Lepisosteus oculatus: one gene and its partner. The protein of the gene in region 1 purifies or fractionates together with the protein of each later gene. This does not show direct contact. Links are inferred from orthologs where the notes say so. Each region holds a gene or a part of one and is shown in the gene's direction. Other genes may lie near its edges. The genes, in order: bccip and eif6.

Evidence for each region.
Region 2: the proteins of bccip (region 1) and eif6 purify together in Homo sapiens (affinity purification with mass spectrometry; 3 studies listed by BioGRID and IntAct, counting the BioPlex papers as one, with this or other methods). This does not show direct contact. The link is inferred for Lepisosteus oculatus from reciprocal best matches to the Homo sapiens genes BCCIP and EIF6.

The regions. Positions count from the first base shown.
Region 1 is NC_090699.1:26,808,645-26,816,205, reverse strand, and holds the start of bccip (protein BCCIP homolog), read left to right. Parts: upstream 1-4,324; coding exon 4,325-4,456; intron 4,457-4,475; coding exon of another isoform or gene 4,476-4,549; intron 4,550-4,727; coding exon 4,728-4,802; intron 4,803-6,070; coding exon 6,071-6,151; intron 6,152-7,219; coding exon 7,220-7,309; intron 7,310-7,494; coding exon 7,495-7,561. Other genes in the region: uros (uroporphyrinogen-III synthase), read right to left, coding at 1,454-1,550, 1,979-2,062, 2,295-2,382, 4,476-4,549. UniProt on the Homo sapiens protein: During interphase, required for microtubule organizing and anchoring activities. During mitosis, required for the organization and stabilization of the spindle pole.
Region 2 is NC_090711.1:65,041-72,537, reverse strand, and holds the start of eif6 (eukaryotic translation initiation factor 6), read left to right. Parts: upstream 1-4,370; 5' UTR 4,371-4,474; intron 4,475-4,892; 5' UTR 4,893-4,926; coding exon 4,927-5,033; intron 5,034-5,933; coding exon 5,934-6,019; intron 6,020-7,487; coding exon 7,488-7,497. UniProt on the Homo sapiens protein: Binds to the 60S ribosomal subunit and prevents its association with the 40S ribosomal subunit to form the 80S initiation complex in the cytoplasm. Behaves as a stimulatory translation initiation factor downstream insulin/growth factors.

The DNA.
Region 1 (7,561 bases):
GATCACTGTCAGGGATGCGGCAACCATTTGTTCAGTGAAGGTTATAATTAAACACAGGCTTCTGGTCTTGTTTTATTTCCATTTGTGTATTGTGGCTAACAAGCATATGAAGGACTGGAAAATAATAATTAGATATCATGGGGGTTCGTTGAAAAAATGCATCTTCTATTATTTCAGATAAGCCATCACATTATTAAAAGATTCTAAAGTAACATATTTCAACACCTATTAAATGTCAAAACACTCACTAGGAAACCAATTTTCATGGCTTGCACGCTGTCACATGACAGAAAATTAAACCCAGGGAGTAATATATTAAAAGAGTACTGGAGTGTCTCTTGTGAACAAAAATGTGGTTTCTTACAAAATATTTAAAATGAAAAACACCAGCATTACACCTTTTTTACTATTTTGTATCATTATTTTACCACTTAATTTAAATCATTTGCATTTTTAAATTCCTATCCATCTCATATCGTTGATTCAGTTTTCAATAAAAAGGCTAGCTAGATTAATTTAGTTGTATTGCATAAACACATTTGTAATTTTTGTCAACTGTCTTATCGTCCAGTATAATCCTGTCACATGTTAAAATAAGAGGCTCTGTACCTGCAACGAAAACATCTTTCTAGCTGCAGGCTGTCCTGCAACTGTGAAATGCAAAGCTGTTGTTAAGAGGAAACCTTTTTTTGTCTTCATGTTTGAGCAGTGTCGACACTGCATTGCAAATAAGGCTCACCTTCCAGTGATGCCAGTGCTTTCTCTAGTGAAGAGGGGAGAAAAGCATTTCTGACCAAACTGATAAAATGAAACTACAATACAAAAGGCTTCTTCTTCAATGGGAGCTGTTTTATTGAGCTGGGTGCAGTGGTGACTTATGTATTAGGGTGAATGAGTCCACCTTTCTGACAAGTTGGATGAAAAGAGATAATCCAAACTAAGCTTTCACAGAGAAAGTGGTTTGTAAATATTTGACCACTATATCGTAAACCTCTGAAAACATCTCTGATGTGTCCACCTGTCAGGCTTCATTGTTCCAGATCGCTGCTTTGTGTATACTCCAGCTGTGTAAAGCAACAGGACAACAGCTCTTAACTTCCCTTTGTGGAATTGTCTGTACTGGCCATGACAACAGAGGTGTAGGGAGGAATATGGCAAATGCTGACATCTATGGGACATTTACAGCCCCTGCAACGCTTCGCTTCAGAGAGCTGGAATATGAAGATCTCCAGATGAAAACATCCAATACAACTGTGCCAGTCTATCTTTGCAAGTGAAAAACTGGCCATGTTACTGCTTGGCAGAAAGTAAAGACAGTGAAGTAACATTTACAAGCCAACCAAACTCCATAGTCTCCTTTAGTCAACCAACAAGAGGTATAAAACAATTCACAATCGCCACCATGCTATCTTTATCATGTTCTCCATTTTAACATTATGACATATTCACTTACCATCTCTTCTACCCTTGTCCTCAAGGCACTTTCTCACAGCCTCCACAGCCCTCGGGCTAGTGAAGACAAGTCCGCCGTACTTCTCAGGGTGAAACAGCTAATAAAAAAAATGTTTTATCAGACTTGAATATACTAGTAAATAAATTAATTGTAACATGCAGCCCATCTGTATTCATGGAAAGGATTTTAACCTGTCAGTAACTATGTGAGACTCCAGCGAAATTGTGATAGTCATTGTATGTGATCTGCAAAGCACATGCTGACACAAGAAGGTTTTCTTTCTAAAGGAATGGAAGATTAGATCTAAGAAATGTGAAAAATGTGTAATGTTGGAATTGTAAGGTATCATAAGACAAAATAACAGTATCCATTTTCTCTTCATTTGATCGTGATTCATTATGAACTCCGGAGTGTCTTAGAATAGCTTTTGCATTCAGGCTTTGATCTGAATGACTGTCATTTAAAAAAAAACAGCCTGTAACAGTACGATCATGTCAGGGGAATGACACAAAGATTATCCCTCACCTTTTCTGACAAAGTGTTCAGTGACACAAATTCAAAAGACAAAACAGGTATCAAAGTAGCCTTAATTCCACAGGATGCCAGCTCCTACAAAAGAATGAAAAGTGCACTGCAATTAGGAAGAACTTGGTAGATGACATGTGGAATAATGAGAGATAATTAGGCAAAATAGAAGACTTTTAAAGATCACAAAACAGAGCGTGCTCGGCCACAGTTAGTACTACATTTTTCTGATTAATCTATCTTGGCTATTATTTCCTATTAACTTAGACAAGTATTACACAAAAGTCTTCTCTTCTTTGTTTTTCAGTATACAAACCTTTACATAAGGGTCAGAACTGGAATCGGCTTCTTTGGATTCTTTTAACAGGAGCACATTCATCTTCAATGCAAAGACAAACCACTGTCTAAAAAAAACAATTAGCAAAGCTGTAATGAACAGACAATAAGAATATTATATAATACAAACGAAATGACTATGTCCCACTTCCCTCATGGTCAGAAAACTGATTATCAATCGCCATTCAGCACAGAGGCGGTTTTCAAAGGCATGAGTAAGCACAGTGCACACCCACTAACTGACAAGCGTTGTTCTTCTGATAGCGTAACTCAAAATTCCCACTGCTCTACTTTTGCCATGTATATCCAAAATGTATGCAATGTATACAAACATTAATTTAATAATAACAGCACCCAAGAATTTAGTGCTTTGAAAAACGGTTGTGGAGTATAGTTCAGTAAGTTTAGTAATAAGCACAGTAAGCTAGGCTTGACTTGTTTAGCTGAGGGCAAAACTCCTGACCATAGCAGGAGGAAGCTGGGACCTCCATGCAGAGCCAGAAGTGACCAAGGTGTAACTGCAAAAATCAAGGAGATATGCAAAAGACAGATTGGGAGGAGATTAGGTACTTTTGTTTAGTATTCATATTTGTTTGTAATTCATCAAATGATACCAGGAATGATTATGATTTAGGACAGTTTAGGTCAGTTGAACTGTGCTGTTGTTAACCCAACTGAACCTCCGTTTAGTTTCTCTTTTTTTACAATACTAAACAGACATTTGTTCAGATCAAATCTATGGTGTGCGCAGTGGCAAAGCCATGATTCAGGCAACGGGCGGGTGTGTTTGGAAGAGAAACACCTATTTCACAACGGATGATACCACAACAGCTGGTCAGCTGCCATTCTTAAATGACACACCTTCCTCATATTTGCCCCCTCTAACTCTTGGGTAATCCCTGTATTCTTCCCACAAATAAACCCTGAAACTCTCAGTACGACGGCTACTAATCTGACTAGGTGTTCAGCTGTCTGGAACACATTAGCTTCGTTGCGGGGTTTTCATATTGTCCTTATAATACTCCAGCCCGTCACCTCTGACCTCCACAGTGTTAGGCAGGAAATGAACAAACGCAACAATTTTAAGATCATAGGTTCTGTTAGTAGCAACGGAATGAGATGCGGATTTTACTCGGAACAAGCATAGTCATTTATTTTTAATTTTGTCACTGTAGCTTCTTCATTAACTCTATAAGCTTGTATGCATCAATTTATTTTATGAAAGCGTATAATTTGGCAAAAGACTGATCACGGACAATACAATCATTTATTTTTATACGTAGCCTTCACAGTAATTAAATACTTTGTTGAGCAGTATCCTACATTAAACGTTACACATCGCTGAACACCATTTCTGTCAAAGGTCGAATTGGGGACGCAAAACAGCAGATACAGGAAATCGTTACAACGTTTAATTTCATTGACCCCCCACATCTCTGCTCCTGAAACAAATGTTACTGACAACTCGCACGATGATTGTGTATACGCAGTGGATAGATAACTGCCCCAAGAACAGAAATTATAAGACATACTTCAGCAGCACAGCCTGAACAGCTGTTCTTCCGACAACAAATTACGCTGAAGAACTCGGATGAAGAACGAGGGAAAAATCAAGAATCGTGAAGAACAGAGGTAGACAAAAATACATTAAAATAAAATCATTTTTAAAAATGCCATCACCATTCCCATAATAAATGTCATATACACTGTAAAATGTATCACATTATTTCTAAGTATGTTATCTTCACTTATATGTTATATAAATAAGACTCCCCTCGAATTCTTTAAGTGCTTTGCACCAAAACCCTCCCCTTCCTCCTTCGGTGCTTCCCTTATGAAATCGAGTGGAGGTTGAACACATTTCCATGGCGTCTACCACGTTGAACATTTCATGCGAGAGACAGTTTGAGCCAAAATGGCGTCCATAATTCTACAGCTTCCCACACCACTTAACCGTAAGAATTGCGTGTGCAGGTCCCCTCCTTTTCCTCTTCTGTGTGTTTTGGCAGCATGGCCTCTTCTGCGAAAAGGCGAGCCGTAGGAATGGGGGTCAACCCGGAGGAGAATGAGGAGGAGAGCTCGGAGGAAGAGGCATCCGAGGGAGAGGAGGACAGCGAAGACTCCGATGAGGAGATACACGAGGTAAAATATATATACATACGGTACTGTATATGATTTTAAGGTTGTAGGAGCCTCCCGCGGTTTACGGCCAGATCGCATTCTCAAGTATCTCATGATTTATTATAATTACCTACAGTATCTAGACAGCAACAACTTTGACGTGTTAGGCAAAACAATGAACTGTTTCAGAATATATTTACAAACATTACAGATAGGGGAAGACTATAAAAATGTGGTATCCACGTGGTTAGCAATTCCCCGTTGACCTGCCGTGTTTTGTTTTACTTGATAGGAGGTGAAGGTGGACTTTGAGGCACATGCGATCTCCGAGAACGATTTTAACGGGATAAAGAAATTGTTGCAACAGGTAAATATATATTATGCTTTAACGTCGTTAAAATGACAGTTGCTACACCAAAAACAACTAGCAATGTACAGAACCATGTTTACAGTTTTTAAAAGCTAAATAACTACTATCATGTTTCCATACCACATTTCATGAGACATCATGTATAGTCGACTATACTATAGTATATAGTCAAATATATAATATATTATAAAGTAACAGAAAACGCCCTCTGCTGCTGGTGTCCATTGGAAATGACATTCTTGTGTGCACACCTTGAACATTTGATGAAACGGTAATCAGTTCAGCGATGTATTATTTTCATATGGAGGATATTAGTTAAAACCACAAGCACTGATGGTTAGCAACAACGGTGAGAATGATAAATTGCAGAGATATGTGAAATGTATTCAAGTAATACATTTGCAGTTAGTTGAACATAGGAATTAGCGGTTAGCAAAATTAATGTTGTTTTAATGTTGGTGGTAACTGTTTTGAGAATAGTTCAGGTGGGTAGCTGCGTCAGCATGCGTAGGCTGCAAAGGAACAAGTAATAGGTTTATTCCATGCTGAAAAAAAGAAGAAAGAGAACACAACGTTTCGGCCGTGGAGCCTTCTTCAGGTGTCACAACGTTTCGGCCGTGGAGCCTTCTTCAGGTGTCACAACGTTTCGGCCGTGGAGCCTTCTTCAGGTGTCACAACATTCCGGCCGTGGAGCCTTCTTCAGGTGTCACAACGTTTCGGCCGTGGAGCCTTCTTCAGGTGTCACAACATTCCGGCCGTGGAGCCTTCTTCAGGTGTCACAACGTTTCGGCCGTGGAGCCTTCTTCAGGTGTCACAACATTCCGGCCGTGGAGCCTTCTTCAGGTGTGACACCTGAAGAAGGCTCCACGGCCGAAACGTTGTGTTCTCTTTCTTCTTTTTTTCAGCATGGAATAAACCTATTACTGTTTTGAGAATTTTGCTTTAATTGTCAGGATTTTTGCAGGTGCCAGTGAAACTTTTAAGAAGGCGATTTGGAGATGAAAAATGTCAACAGAGTGCGGAAATAACATTTAATTGCTTGTTCTTTGTATTTAAATATAAAAATATTATATATTTTAGCAAGATCTGATTTTAGAATTTGTGATGGTAGGTCCGTGTCATTGTTCTTTGAATATCTGCAAAGGAGGTGCAGGTATTCAAGTAATGTATTTTTATTCTAGCTGCATGTACGTCTCAGACATAGGTTGTTTATTATTAATTCATAATTAACAATAATTAAAGTATAAATGCTCTTGTCCTCACAGGTATTCTTGAAAGCCACTGTAAACATTTCAGAGCTGACAGATATCATCATCCAGCAGAATGAAATTGGAAGTGTCATTAGAGTAAGAATTTTAATACTCTCTTCAAATTTCAAGTTTTTGTTTGTCATGTTTATGCTTGTGTGTTTCCTCACGTTATTAATGACAGAACAAATAACATACAAATGACATCACAAATTGTTGGAGACAACAACATAAAGCAATAGCATGTGTGCCAACAAAATAGTGGAAAGTGGCATGTAAAATAGCAGTAGCAGCAGTATGCATAAACGTACATGTAGCAGCAATATACATGACATTATACAATAACAGCAATATACACATTGAAGGGTAGTAGCTGTTATTTTAAGCAGCATTCAAACAGCAGCAATATGCAAAAACCAGGTAGTGACAGTACTGTGAGTATTTCACACTGCTGTATGCTTTTTGATATTTCATTTAAAGTACATGCATATGTGTTTTCACCTTGTGATACTATTAGGAAATGCAAACTTGGCTTTCACCTTTATTCCGGTGATGTGGCACCAGCTGTCTCAAAATGCTAATCACCAAAATTTGTTCAATTTTAGATGACTTTTACTGGCACCTTTTTCACGGTGTTAAGAATTCTGGTGTTATTCTTGACAGTTTAGTTCATGCCTTGGGTTTGTGACTAGAACTATCTTGAACTAACTTGGAAAACACTGGTGAGATTGAAACGTGCCTAAACAAGAAGGAGGCAAAATGCTGCTTCACCATGTTCAGAGTGTCTCTACTGGCTGACTGAAAGTGCTTTTGTGTAATGGCTTGTGTTTGTTTACCTTTTATGCAGTGTTCTGGCATGTATTGCAATACATTTTATGTTGCTGTTTTGTTAAATGGCCTTGATAATTTTTTAAAACATTTCTAGGTGCATATATTGCACAGTGCAGACATGTGATACTTGATCTTTTAATCACTAGTTTCTGTGCCAGTCCAATTTTATGTAATTTAAATCTGTAATAAAACACTTTTTTACTAATGAGATCAATCTATTATTTCACATTATACAGTTTTGAAAAGCCGATCCACTTGAAACACTAGTGGATGGGATATTGGCGGTCTTGGTCTATTTAATAATAACTGTGATCACTGCTCTTCTCTTTTTTTCAGCAAGGTGAAGTACCCGAGGATAGTGATGATGACGATGATCCTGATGAAGTGTTTGGATTCATTAGTTTGTTAAACCTCACTGAAAGGAAGGTAAGCACTCCAGGCAGTTACTGGGGAAGTTGTTTGCCAGTATGTGATTGTACAAAAAAATTGCTAAAGCTTAACAGCCCCCTCTCTGGTGGTTTTCACAGCGAAACCAGCTAAATGAAATCTTCAGCCTAAAATGAAATCATCCCTTGTTGGTGCCTTCATGTTTGCTTTCGATTGGTGTGCAGGACACCCCGTGTGTGGAGCAGATTAAGGAGCTTATCCTGAGCCAGTGTGAGAAGGTCGTCCCCCAGG
Region 2 (7,497 bases), on another chromosome or scaffold:
AAGCACAACCACTCCTTGGATCAAATAATTAATACCATTGTAAGAAAATTGTCATAAAGGTGCAAGCGCCTGTTGCTGAGAATTTCCAAAACCCTGTTTATGTTCTGCCAATACATGTGCTGAGCTGATGTTTATTATGAGGTATGGCACTGGTAATCCACTTCAAAACGCTAACAACCTCAACAAATCCAGCCCACATCAAAGCAGAACTCTGATGTTCCCCATTACAAAACTGTGAAAAATGTAAATAATTCATTAAATCTACTCACACTGGAAAATAGCTACTTTTTCTATTGCTGTTGCTTAAACATTTCTAATTTAACACTGCATTTTTCTCTTATTGCCTTTGCTACAAAAAAAAGTTTTACCTCATTTTATGTTGAGTTACAAGCTTTATAAGCAAACATTTTTCTTATGTTAATCATAAATGATTGGAGCAAGGTACTTTGTTTTATTCTTTAATAATTTCACACTGTGTATCAAAGAACAGCTCACCGTGTTGTATTTCAGATAAATTTGTCAATAAAAAAAGGAACCAACATGACAATCTGTTTTTGCTTTTGCACATACTGTATCAATATTCCTGTCCTATTCAATTACTGCCTTTTCAATTCAGTCTTAAATATATAAGTATGAAAACATCATTTTCTATTGCTACACATCTGTTGAAAATGGTGTTGGCTTACAAAATCATTAAGAACTGCAAATGAGAGAATGCCAGTTGGCTCATCCACCCCATTTTTAGTTTTAATTACACCACTGCCATGACCTTCAAAACCTTCTCCAGCTCCAGGCCTGACAGTGCCCACAGGAAAGTTAGCAATATAGAACTGCCGCTCCAACAACACAGGAAGCTCACAGGCACCCGGGAAGCCACCTGGTTTGCTGCTGTATGGCCAGTAATGGATACTCTAACTGAATGAAACACACGCAACCTAAGCAGTGCTTAGTCAACAGTATATCGCTGCTTTCAGGAATCCTAGTCGCTGACACCTAAACGCTTAAACGTTTTGAAAATATTTTTGGAAATTGCCAGCACCCCTTGTCATCCTGCAACCTACAACTGATATCTCACTGAAACTAAGCAGGTGCGAGTCTGGTCAGTAGCTGGATGAGAAACCTCCTGGGTAAAACTAAGGGTGCAGCTTGAAGGGGTCTTAGAAGGGCCAGTAGGGGGCCCTCACTCTGCAGCCTGTGGTGGTACTTATGCCCCAGTATAGTGATGGGGACACTGTACTGCAAAATGGCGCTGTCCTTTGGATGAGATGTAAAACCGAGGTCCTAACTCTCTGTAGTCATTAATAATCCCAGGGTGTCTCTCGAAAATAGAAGGGGTGTTACCCCGACATCCTGGCCAAATTTCCCCGTCCTTTACCAATCATGGCTACCTAATAATCCTCATCTCTGAACTGGCTTAATCAATCTAATCTCCACACTTCTATCTGATATGTTGTGAGTGTACTGGTGCACTTTGGCTGCCGTTGTTATCCAGGTGGATGCTGTACATTGGTGATGGTGGAGGAGAGTCCCCATTATCGGTAAAGCACTTTGAGTGGAGTGTCCAGGAAAGTGGTATGTATGGAATTGTTATTATATTAATAAATTATTATTATAAATCAGCATGATTCCACCAGCTGCACTGGCTGCTGTGCTATAAATATGGTTCTGACATCATCACAATGAGGGAATCCTGTTCATTAAATAAGTGTCAAGAATCAGACCACTGTCTTAAAGTTTGTCACAGTGACTTGAATTTTCAATACTTTTTTCAATTTGCAGTCACAAATACACATAGACACTCAGAACACACATTTAAGATAATCAATGGCTTTCTACTGTGGAAAAGATATTTTTCTGCAACAATTTGCTCTTTTATGGTGAACGGTGCACGTGTGACATTCTAACCTACAGACAAACAAAAAGTTAAATAGTTTTACTTTCGAAAACTGCATATTTAATAATTTTACAAAGATATGTCAGAACGGATCAACTCATCATAAAAACATATTCCTCAAAATTCAACTTCATAACGTCAAGGACTTCAGTCTGTGGTGTAGTGTCTAATACCAGTTGGTGCATGTGATCATAAAACACATGTCATCTACTTTCTTATTCCCTATTTGACACTGTGGTAGGTCTGCTTCTGGTCTCTGGGTGGTCTCTGATGGTGTTGGGCTTGAAGGTGGTCCTGTGAATACTTTTGAATCCTGGAGTGATGAACAGGCATCCTCTGAGACAGAAATCTTCTCTCTGCTCTGCCCTTCTCCCATTTTCTGAAAAACAACAGAAATATCGGTGTACAGAACAAGATTGCTGTCACCTATCTATAAGATAACCCTGACAGAGAGCTGTTTGAGAGCATCTGTTTACACAATAAAGCAGCTGATTTAGCTGAAGACTAAATGGGACTTGAGCACTTGTTTCAAGGCATTTACTGGTGAGTAAACACGAAATGCAGTCTAAACCTATGATGCAACATGTTATTAAGAAATACACTTTCTTGGGAGTATGGGATCACCAGTTTCTGTCGTGGCAAATCACTTCAAATGCAAATCATAAGATAAACTGACCTCTTTTGGACATCTAAGGGATGACAAGGGACACTAAACCAAAAGTGCAGTGCAGATGCAGTACAGTGATGCATCTCAAAATCTATCAAAGAAATTGCATTACATAGTTTCCCAGTTCCTTATAATTAACACATGAATTCTACATCTGAATTACATGTAGTTATATTCTTTGGTCCTGTTGACTTGTATTAACTAGACCCTATCATCTTTAAGCTTTGTTTAAACTAAATTAAATATGGTACCTTGTACAAATAGGTGGAAAATCTTTGATTTTCTTATTTAAATGACTAAATTTACAAAATGTGATTAATATTAACACCGTGATGCTTCAGTTTAATGTTTCATTTTAGAAAAGAAGACCAACTGGATCAACTGAGAAAATATTTATAAATATCTGCTTGGTAACAAGTTTCCTGATACTTGAGTTTGTAAGATCTTCAGTAAGTGCAGAAGAAGAAAAGTGAGTTTAATATATCTATCTCCTGCTAAATCAGATAATATATTAAACAGGAGTGCACTATTTTTAATCGGCTTTATCTGCTATTACGCCCTTTGCAACACTTTACAGATCACAATCAAGCTTTTAATACTGTTACAATACCATTTAACCTCGTGACGTTACTAACTGAAAACACTTTAAAACAAATAACAGACAGCGTACAAAACAGAGCTCATTACATTTAAAATACCTAATCATATTCAGTAAACAACACCTTAACAGGCTAACTGGTCAAAATAAATCTGGAACCTCCACCATTTCAAATGCTTACATAAAGCAGCAGATATGCAGGAGATCACGTAATTAACAAGAAGCCAGATTGTGCTTAATGACAAGTCTGTCTACGTCCTTTGCGGCCATTCGGCGACCCTGCCCGGCTGGTGAGCTCGCAGTTTCCAGGCAGAAGTCGCTGCAGCAGTGACGTCACACCGGGCTGCATCTCGCGCGGGGCACACGCCTGACCAGGCTCGCCGCGTGGTGGGGCACGTGCGCTTGGAGCTGCTGCGCAGATGACGTTGCGGACGAGGAGCAATATTGCTGTAAAATTGTGAATTCCTCTGGCTGTGAAGTGTCTATTTCTGTATCTACTTCATTCTTCTGTCTCCTTTTTTCTGTATTTCTGGTATTTAAATAAAAACTTATTTTAAAAAAGTAAAACAAATATTGCTGTAAAAAGCTCCACTATAATAATAATAATAATAATAATAATAATTGAATTCAAATAAGAAACGTGCTTTATCTGACACAGTATTCTCTTGTTTAATAAAGTATTTTTAGACGCCTCGCATCCTTTTGCTGTATACTAGTGTTAACAAATTAGCATCCTATCATAAAACCTCCAAGGTACATGCTGTGCTGTCTGAAGCTACTTGAGCAGAATTGTATATGTACAGTGCCTGCCAGTGGCTTTGGACAGGAAAGGAAGGAACTTACCATTTCCGAATAATGATATGGCTACCAGCTGAAAAGCTTGAATTGATACTACAGAAAGTCCGAGATTTCCACATAAAATTTCTTCAGATTTATATAATTAAAGTAAGATCCCAAAAAATTAATTGTAAAAAATAATGTAATTTAATGTAGCTTGCTCACTTTATGCTGTTTTGACTTAAAGTCAAATTGTGAATTACGAGTATATACGTTTAATATTTGATATTATGATATCTAGCATGGACCCGTACAGACTAACCTGGATGTAAACAGAGCACAAAAGGAAGTACTTCCTGTGAGGAAAATGGCGAGTGTGGAAAAGCTCTATCTGATACGAAGGAGCCCGTGACATCACAGCAATCCCAGAAGCAGAAGAAGACACGTGGGTGTGGGCCATGCCGTGTTTGAGTGCAGGAGGCCTGGTTGTACGGGTGTAGTGTAGGCAGCGATACAGAAACATTTAGAGCTTTCACAGGTACTGTGATTATTGTAAACGGTTTCATATCAGTCATTCAAATGACAATATTGTTTTAAATTACTAAATTTGTCCCTATGGAATTTATATTGTTTTGCTGTGAGAGAAAATCGAGTAAACAGCGAAGAGGAACATGAGTTTATATGTTTTTTGTGCTGTCATTATCTCTTAATGATTTACGTTTTTGATTTTGTAAACAGTTATATTTAGTTTCATTTACATTTCTAACCAATTCGAATATAGGGAACGCTGTAATGGTGAGATCCGTATTTTCTCATTTTTGTAAATGGTTCAGCTACTTCGATTTAAAAGTACAGCGGGCAAAGCTGCCGGTGAATTTCCGAAGGGAGTTCAGGTAAATTCTTTAAAAAAAAAAGTGAACTTGCATTTGCTTTAATGGAATTATGTGTCGTTCTAGTTTGCGGGCCGCTGGTGTGATCACCTCTATAGGCATGGCAGTCCGGGCGTCTTTTGAGAATAACAATGAAATAGGCTGTTTCGCCAAACTTACAAACAGATACTGTCTAGTAGCCATAGGGGGCTCGGAGAACTTTTACAGGTAAGTCAACATTTTTCTCTTAGTTTAAAAATGCACGTGTTGAGTTATCGTTATCTTCAGATATCATATTAGAGGTTTAGGTGTTCTACATCTGTATTCTGAATCACTGAAACTGCTGAATACGGTCTCTTCAGAACAAGTTTGTTTTCTGACGCTACACCCCTATTTTATAAAAATAATAATAATTGCTTAAACTTATATAGCGCTTTTCTGGACACTCCACTCAAAGCGCTTTACAGGTAATAGGGTCTCCCCTCCACCACCACCAGTGTGCAGCCCCACCTGGATGATGTGACGGCAGCCATAGTGCCCCAGAGCGCTCACCACACATCAGCTATCAGTGGGGAGGAGAGCAGAGTAATGAAGCCAGTTCATAGAGGGGGATTATTAGGAGGCCATGATTGGTAAAGGGCCAATGGGAAATTTGGCCAGGACGCTGGGGTTACACCCCTACTCTTTACGAGAGACGCCCTGGGATTTTTAATGACCACAGAGAGTCAGGACATCGGTTTTACGTCTCATCCGAAGGACGGCGCCTGTTTACAGTACAATGTCCCCGTCACTATACTGGGGCATTAGGACCCACACAGACCGCAGGGTGAGTGCCCCCTGCTGGCCCCACTAACACCTCTTCCAGCAGCAACCTTAGTTTTTCCCAGAAGGTCTCCTATCCAGGTACTGACCAGGCTCACACCTGCTGAGCTTCAGTGGGTTGCCTGTTGTGAGTTGCAGGATGATAACTATTTTGTAATTTTAAAGACAGAAAGTTTACAGTTTAGCAACTGTTCTGGAATTTAAATCCTGAAATGCTAATGACTTTTGAAATGTTAATGGATTACGTGGTAAAAGTTTTGATTGTGGATCAGAGTAATCTCTTTTAAATTGTTCTCATGGTTGCAGTGTCTTTGAAGGTGAGCTGTCAGAAACCATTCCTGTGGTGCATGCATCCATAGCTGGCTGTCGAATCATAGGAAGGATGTGTGTAGGTAAGTACCGCAGTGTCATGAATTTGACATCCATTATCCACTCTGCCTTCATCTGAAGAACAAAATATAGAGTGGAAAGATGTGTAATTTGCCAATAAACTAATCAAAGGGGTCTAGGACATAGTTGCAACAGAACTCCACTTGAAGTAAATTATGGCAGCTTGGCAACACAGCACTGCCTTGAATAGGTTCTTGGATCTCGCTTACGTCCCTTCCTGTGGGTTTTTCTTTTGTGTAAACATTTCAGCAGGACAAAATGTATCCTTGTGCTACTTATGTAACAGTGGGGTTCCTGATGGATAAGAAAGTGCTGGTTATAAAATTAGGGATTTTCTCACTAGACTTGAGCTTCATCGTTATTTACATTGAGAGTTATAGTGCATAGGGGATCAAAGGTTTCTTGTGTCAATCACTGTTGCACCTGGGAACATGGGTATCTCCCAGATGGGAGTAGTGTAAATTCAGTGGAGGGGATGTGCCACACACCCCTAAAAGAGGAACTGCAATGATATTTTTACATTTTGGAGTTATAAGGAATTGGCACTGATGATTTCAAACCATAATGAAAGAAAGTACACAGTAATATGTAAAAACCTTTAATTTCCATCACAAAATAGACAATTTGCAGGTATGCGTAGCACCATATTGCTCTCATTGCCTGCAACTCCAAACGAGGCAACAAATGTCTGGAAATGTGAAGCAGCTTTATTACATTGTAAACAAGCAGGCTTGTGAATGCATCTCTTTGATAGAAATATTGCTCCTAGTTGTAAAACCATATTTAATGCACATCTTAACTTAGGTTAAATCATGAGTTTTTCTAATTTCCTGTCAAGCACTGATGTCACCCTCTTGCTGCTTTTTCTTTTAATTGGTTGGTTTTGTCAGCAGAAATGATAGGAATGATACCTAGTTTGAGCACAAGTTATGGTTCATTATCTGAAATGAAAATATATTTAATATTATGAACTGTTAGACTTCATAATGATGTAAACTCCAAAGCAGAATACGTTTTTAGGTACTTGAACAAGACTGCTGATTTGAATAACTACACTTGAATTGAATTCAGTGCATCAACTTCAAGATGGTTTTACTGACAAATACTACTTGTAAACTGTGCATGCTGATCATGTTGGAACATTTCTGCAGTGAAAAGTCCACTGCACAACCTGTGCTTATGCACTCATACAGCACAGTAAATTAGTCATTATAGTGACTAGTGAGCAGGAAGGGCTGTTTCATGTTGCTATTCGTGCTAACTCGCTATTTGTGCTTAATTTGGAATTTGTAAAATTTTGTGAAATTGTCAATTAATTTATTCTGTTACAGAGATTTAATAACCAGTCTGAGAAATTGGAACTTTAATGCTCTTAGCCTTTCTCACTACCCTCTGTTTATAGAGGAACATTAATTGTGATATACAAGGTACCTTTAGGTTCTTACCCTTCTCTCTGCTGCTTACTATTAGGGAATCGTCA